Callithrix jacchus: one gene and its partner. The protein of the gene in region 1 interacts with the protein of each later gene in a biochemical or structural test. Links are inferred from orthologs where the notes say so. Each region holds a gene or a part of one and is shown on either strand. Other genes may lie near its edges.

Region 1 (3,750 bases):
ATATACCCTGGGAACTGGAGAAAATTCCCAGTTGTAAGTGGCGCAGCCACTCATGGAGCAAAGGGGTGCTCTGCAGAACAACCCTGGGTCCCAGGCTGCCAGCTCCATCCATTTTCCCAGAAAAAGAAAGAAATCTTAATCTTTATGTGAAATCTCCCTCACAAGCATTGGCAACTAATTTAAAAAGCCAACTTAAGTTTTTATACATCAAATAAGAGATCTATAAACACTTTATCATCTGTTTACTGGTTTCTGACTGCTACCTACTAAAGTCAATTCCAAAAAAGCAAAGATTTCCTACCAGACACCGGGGAAGTGGAACACAGTAGCAGATGCAAACGCTGATTTGTTCAACAAATGAATAAAACAAAAGCAAGTTTAAAAAGAGGAGGCCGGGCACGGTGGCTCACGCCTATAATCCCAGCACTTTGGGAGGCTGAGGCGGGTGGATCACGAGGTCAAGAGATCGAGACCATCCTGGTCATCAAGGTGAAACCCCACCTCTACTAAATACACAAAAATTAGCTGGGCATGGTGGCACGCACCTGTAGTCCCAGCTACTCAGGAGGCTGAGGCAGGAGAATGGCTTGAACCCAACAGGCGGAGGTTGCGGTGAGCCGAGATCGTGCCATTGCACTCCAGCCTGGGTAACAAGAGTGGAAACTGCCTCTCAAAAAACAAAAGAAAAAAAAAAAAGAGGATAATGGGCCTGGCACAGGGGCTCACGCCTATAATCTCAGCACCTGGGAGGCCCAGGAGGGTGGATCACCTGAGGTAAGGAGTTCGAGACCAGACTGGCCAACATGGCAAAACCCCATCTCTACTAAAAATACAAAAATGAGCCAAACATGGTGGCATGCACCTGTAATACCAGCTACTCAGGAGGCTGAGGTTGCAGTGAGCCAAGATCATGCCACTGCACTCCAGCCTGTGCAACAGAGCAAGATGTTGTCTCAAAAAAACACAAAAAGGATAATGGGCAATAAAAGAACATTTCAAATCAGAAACACCCCAGGAAATGATTGTTTTTTGGTTCCTGAAACTGAGGTACTCAACAGATCCAAAGCCAGAGTGATCCTTTCAAAACATGATCCCATCTTCTACCTGCTCACTTTTTCATGGTTGCATTTTGCTCAGTTAAGGCCAAATTCCTTACCACAGCCTTCAAGATCCTATATGACCTGGCTCCCATAAATTCCTTGTTGCACTCACTCTGTTCCAACCAAACTGGAACCCCTTTTTTGTGGGGGGAGGTGGGGAGACAGAGTCTCACTCTGTCACCCAGGCTGCAGTGCAGTGGCACCATCGCAGCTCACTGCACCTTCACCTGCTGGCTCAAGCGATCTTCCCATCTCAGCTTCCAGAGTAGCTGGGACTACAGGAACGTGCCACCATGCTCAGCTAATTTTTTTTTTTTTTTTTTTTTTTGAGACGGAGTTCCGCTCTTGTTACCCAGGCTGGAGTGCAATGGCGCGATCTCAGCTCACCACAACCTCCGCCTCCTGGGTTCAGGCAATTCTCCTGCCTCAGCCTCCTGAGTAGCTGGGACTACAGGCATGCGCCACCATGCCCAGCTAATTTTTTGTATTTTTTTTTTTTTTTTTAGTAGAGACGGGGTTTCACCATGTTGACCAGGATGATCTCGATCTCTTGACATCGTGATCCACCCGCCTCGGCCTCCCAAAGTGCTGGGATTACAGGCTTGAGCTGCCACACCCAGTCTCAGCTAATTTTTTTTTCTTTTTTCTTTTTTTGTCTTCAGTGGTTGGCTATCGGCTAATTTTTTTATATTTTTGTAGAGACAGGGTCCCACTATATTGCCCAGATTGCCCTCGAAATTCTAGGCTCACGTCCTCCCATCTAGGCCTCTCAAATCCTCGTTAATCCTTGAACACAGCAAACACAGTGCCATCTTTCCACCTGCTGGTCCCCCTCACTGGAACACTCCACTTCCAGCTAACCACAACCCACTCCCTCAATCATTGTTCAAATGTCACCCTTCAGACTCAGGTTGATGACCCTATTTCAAGTGCAACCAGGACTCTCCACTCCCCTTCTCTATTCTCCCTTTCTCCAGAGTATCTTCCAGCTTACTATATGGTGTATTTATTGGCTATGTTTATTTACATTCTCGAAGCCAGAAATTTTTTAAATCTGCTTTGTTTACTGGTGTACCCCAAGGGCAAAGAATTGCGCCTGGTATATAGCAGGCACTACAAATTTATTTCTGGAATGACTAGACGTAACTAAAAAAAATAACTAATGCTAAGTGCTTACTATATACACACAGAGTAAACTTTAAAAACATCACCTGTTATCTCACTGGACCTGGCTCATCTCTGGCCTCCAGAACCTGTCCCTTTGCTTGACTTCAACTTGCGTACTTCTCTGCCTCTTACAACAATCTGGGATCTCCCAGAAGCCAGAGCTCGCTGTGAACCCCTCGAGCCTCCCACAAGGGACTTTCTGCCCCGAGTCCTGTCCCCAGGCGCAGTATCTCCCCCAGCGCCCCTGCCACAGACCTCGGCCTCCTCGCCGTCACTACTGCGCTCGCTGTCCTCCTCCTCGGAGAAGTTGCTGTCCTCGCTGTCCGACATCTTCCGCTGCTGCGGGAAAAGACGGCCGCCTCAGCGTGTCCCACAATCCTGAGCGCCACCTCGAGCCTCAGTTTCCCCGCTGGTTCCCTGGGAGAAGAAAACCCCTTAGCGCACTTCCGGCAGCCTCGTTTTGGCAATCGTGAACTGGAGTGCGGACCCCCTCCTACGCCACATGTTAGACCTTCCTAGTTTACGAATCCGCTCCCTACACCTACCCGGCCCCCGGCTGCCCCCGGAACTGCCACCTCTGCACCTACACTTAACCGCTCCGACTCCACCTACGACTTAGATACCAGCTGCAGTTCGCACGACGCCTTGCTGGGGCTGACGGGTCCTCTCGCGAGAACCCATCCATTGGCCTCACCTAACGCGAGATTTCCGGGGCTGGCCCGGACGACTCACTTCTGGGTCGCCATCATAAGAGAGGCAGGGCTGGCTTAGGCAGAGTTCGCGGCCGACATCTGTGGAGGGTCATGCGAGGAAAAGTATTTTTACCCTGCCGTCTCGGCCTTTTCCAGGCTGGAACTCGTGTTTGAATTGAGTGAGCCGTTTGTTCGATAGTCCAGGCCACTAGCGCGATATGCCAAGCCGCGAGGAGGCGGGGAATCGGCGAACAGCAAATTAGAAAAGAAACCAGGCTTATATCCTAGGCCCTCTAAAGCATCCCCAGGAGATAAGTATCCCTATTTTGCAGAGAACGCTAAAGCTCAGTGGAAAGCAGCAGACTCAAGCCTCCTCGCCAAGTCTAAGTGACCGTGAAGCCCTTGTTTTCTTTTTCTTTCTTCTTATTTTTTGTAGTGTTGGGGTCTCACTATGTTGCCCGGGCTGGTCTGAAACTCCTGGGCTCAAGCCATCCTCCGGCCTCGGCTTCCCAAAGTGCTGAGATTACAGGCGTTACCTGGCGCGCCGACCCAAGCCCCCATTTTTTTTTCCAGGCTCCCTACGTTCAGTTAAAGGAGAATTTATTTATTAGTAATGACGGCTGACGAGTGGTGGCAGAAAGGACAGGTGTAAGGGAGAGATGAAAAATGAAGCTGAAAATCAACAGGAAGAATTTTTAACAAAAAAAGAGAAAAATGAACCTTCGCCTGTAAACCCAGCGCTTTGGGAGGCTGAGGCAGGAGGATCACGAGGTCAGGAGTTCAAGACCAGC
Region 2 (3,650 bases), on another chromosome or scaffold:
AACAAAAAAGGGGGTAAAAAGGAAGTTCTCCTAATGAAGAGTCAGGGTACTGGCTGCACTTGCCCAAGCTAGAAATTAGAGGGCTACTACTCAATTATAACATAAAGAAAGGGGAAAATGCCATGTCAAATACATGCCTCTTCCTTTATGTTCTCAAGGCCAACCATGTTCTTCTCTAGTAGACTGTTTGGAAATGAAAATGGTAAGGGACAGGGAAGGAAAGGTAAAACATGATTTTTAAACACACACACTTAAAAACACACATAACCACACTTACATACACACTTAAAATTCTGACACTTCAAGTGGCCTGAGCCTATTTCAGAACTCCTAGCCAAAAACCTACCCTCCCACCCACCCTCACACATTCCCACCCTCCAATCCCACCCACCAGGAGTCACTGCTATGTATTGCATACACACAGCAAAATCCCTATCCCCTTCCCAATTATATAAAAAAACTAAACAGATAACTTACTTTAAATTATTTTTTTTAAGTCTCTTAAAAAGATTTTGATGTTTAAATACTTCCTCTCTTCTGATATATTAAACACCAAAAGGATCCATAATTGTCTGATAAAACAATTTTTCGGCTCTGGCAAGAAGAGGGAAGATACTCCAATCAACCTAATTAGACGGTGGAGAGGCCAATAATTCAGAAAGTGTTCTTAATCCTTCACAGCTTCAATACCTCTCTAATACCAGTTAAAAACTGTAAGAAAATAGTTAAATGCATGAGGCAGCAGATATAATAGCCAAGGCCTTCTACTACCCTCCCACCTATGTCTCAATACCAATTTACTCCCTAGTCCATGAAGGGTAACATATTTCATAAGTAATTTTCTTAGTCCAAATCAGTAGTCAAAAAAAAAAAAAAAAGAAAGAAAAGAAAAAGAAAAAAGTATATATATTTTTTTTTTAAAGAAGTTTTTTTTCTCCTCCTGTTTTTCTTTTTTACTTAGGAAGGGGCGGAAGCGGTGGAGGAGGTTCTGATGGCAGAGGTGGTGGCCGGGGTTTGTCTGTATTTCCAGATCTCGAGGAAGAGATTCCACCAGCCCGAGGATTCAGATATTCGCTATAAGGACGAACAAATTCAAATGCAGTGGGCTGAGTGGGCTGAACACCTTGGGCACTGAGCAGGGAGTGAAGCATATTCACAGTATCTTGATAGTCTATTGTCTGGGTCGTGTTATGACCATTGGCCCCAGTGGCCCCTTTATCCAGTTTCGAATGAGAGACTCGAGTTTTACAGCTGGGCTGTGAAAAGGAAAGGCCACTTGTGTCTGAGCTATGCCCAGGCATCTGAGCCATTGCAGGAAGTGAAGGGAAGGAGAAATTTAGGGAAGAGGATTTACTACTCTTGGCAATCTTGGTTGGATGATCAAACACTGCCCCTCCAGTCTCTTCAGAGGGTCCCCTTTTACGAGTAGTACTGGAAGAGGAAAAAGAACTAGACAAGCTATAGGTTTTATGTGCTAAGTTGCTTGTCTGGCTACTATGTTTTGGATCACCTGGACGTTTGTTCCCTGTACTAACTGGAAGTTGTGAATGAGAGTGCTTGTGTGAGTGGTGATTATGATGATGATGGTGATTAGATGGGTGAGTCTTATGCTTTTCTTTGTGCTCTCGGCTCTTTGTAACACTGTCCTCTACAGAATTGTGCTTATCAGCTGCAGCATGGACTTTTATGCGCATTTTTATCTCCTCTGGTTTTGAAGAGGCAGCCTTATCTCCACCTGCCACTGGAATTCTCATTTTGAGAGCTGTTTTGTCAGCCTTTTCCAGAAAAGACCGCTCGGGGTTTTCTGAACCCTCTAAGGGCATTTTTAGAATGACTGAAGAATGGCTATCATGATGAGAAAGGAGATTCTGGGCAGCATATGCATACTGTGACTTCACATTGGCTTCCATGTTCTCCAGTTGCTTCTTTTGAGCAGCCAACTCTTCTGCATGCTTTGCACGGTATTCTTTCAGTGACACTTTAGCTGACGGCACACTCTTACTACTCTGCTTCTGGGAAATAAATGCATTTGAACCATCCTGTGGTAAGGAATGATCAACTCCTATAAGTGCTAAATTGTCACTAGTCCGATGACCCTGAGTAGGTTCTAGTTTGAAAGAAGGTTGGGAGGACAGCCAACGCTCTCCAGGCAACATCTCCACACTGGCTAAGTTGCTGGATGATTCTTCGGAGACTGGGAGGGAAGGCACTGCATTTGTGGTAGAAGAAGTTGACATGCTCATTAAACCTGCAATGGTTGTGTCTGAAGAGCTCTGGGAAATCATATTGAGGATTCTCTGCTCTGAAGTATTTTCATCTGTTCCTCGGTCATCTGCTTTTGTTTTCTGGGCAGCCTGGCATGCCTGGAATGAAGCAAATAGCGTCTCTTCACTTCAGGTAATTTATTAAATAAAAAAACACTGCGATGAGTAAATTGTACTGGCAGCAACACTGGAAGTTCTGGATAGACCACAGGCAGGAGACTTTCCTAACATGAAATCCAGTAAACATTACCATCAAAAGAATATTTCAAAACCTTCACTTGCCAGGCGCAGTGGCTCACACCTGTAATCACAGCACTTTGGGAGGCCGAGATGGGTGGATCACGAGGTCAAGATATCAAGACCATCCTGGCCAACATGGTAAAACCCCATCTCTACTAAAAAACACAAAAATTAGCTGGGTGTGGTGGCACACGCCTGTAGTACCAGCTACTCAGGAGGCTGAGGCAGAAGAATTGCTTGAACCCAGGAAGCGGAAATTACAGTGAGCCAAGACTGCACCATTGTACTCCAGCCTGGAGCCTGGAGACAGAGCAAGACTCTGTCTCAAAAAAAAAAAGCTTAAAAACCTTCAATTAAGAGTCACAGCAATGGCCGGGCGTAGTGGCTCACGCCTGTAATCCCAACACTTTGGGAGGCCAAGAAGGGTGGATCACAAGGCCAGGAGATCGAGACCATCCTGGGCCAACATGGCAAAACCCCGTCTCTACTAAAAATGTAAAAAAACAATAGCTGGACGTGGTGGCAAACACCTGTAATCCCAGCTATTCAGAAGACTGAGGAAGGAGAACTGCTTTAACCTGGGAGGCAGAGGTTGCAGTGAGCCGAGATTGCGCCACTGCACTCCAGCTTGGCAACAGAGCAAGACTCCGTCTCAAAAAAAAAAGTCACATACATGAAATCTATGCCTTCTGCTTATGATTATAGTCAGTCCATAACAGAATTCTAGAAATTTTGGTGATATTTTATGCTAAAGTAAAAGATGAACTATGTGATCTCAAGCCTACTTCTTTTTGTTGTTGTTTTTGGGTTTTTTTTTTTTTTTGAGACAGAGTCTCACTCTGTCACCCATGCTAGAGTGCAGTGGTGCAATCTCAGCTCACTGCAACCTCCGCCTCCTGGGTTCAAGTGATTCTCCTGTCTCAGCCTCCTGAGTAGCAGAGATTACAGGTGCCCACCACCACGTCCGCTAATTTTTTGTATTTTTGGTAGAGATGGGGTTTCACCATGTTGGCCAGGCTGGTCTCAAACTCCTGACTTCAGGTGATCTGCCCACCTTGGCCTCCCAAAGTGCTGGGACTACAAGCATGAGCCACCATGCCTGGCCTCTCAAGCCTACTTCTAATCCGAAGCTTCTAAGAGGCAAAC

The links. The genes of interacting proteins can lie anywhere in the genome.
Region 2: the proteins of SUPT5H (region 1) and CCNT1 form a complex in vitro, tested with the Homo sapiens proteins (2 studies listed by BioGRID, with this or other methods). The link is inferred for Callithrix jacchus from reciprocal best matches to the Homo sapiens genes SUPT5H and CCNT1.

Annotation. Positions count from the first base shown.
Region 1 is NC_133523.1:34,929,970-34,933,719, reverse strand, and holds the start of SUPT5H (transcription elongation factor SPT5), read right to left. Parts: upstream 2,924-3,750; 5' UTR 2,855-2,923; exon of another isoform or gene 2,813-2,854; intron 2,685-2,812; 5' UTR 2,598-2,684; coding exon 2,523-2,597; intron 1-2,522. UniProt on the Homo sapiens protein: Component of the DRB sensitivity-inducing factor complex (DSIF complex), which regulates mRNA processing and transcription elongation by RNA polymerase II.
Region 2 is NC_133510.1:70,881,558-70,885,207, reverse strand, and holds part of CCNT1 (cyclin-T1), read right to left. Parts: intron 2,364-3,650; coding exon 954-2,363; 3' UTR 1-953. UniProt on the Homo sapiens protein: Regulatory subunit of the cyclin-dependent kinase pair (CDK9/cyclin-T1) complex, also called positive transcription elongation factor B (P-TEFb), which facilitates the transition from abortive to productive elongation by phosphorylating the CTD (C-terminal domain) of the large subunit of RNA polymerase II (RNA Pol II).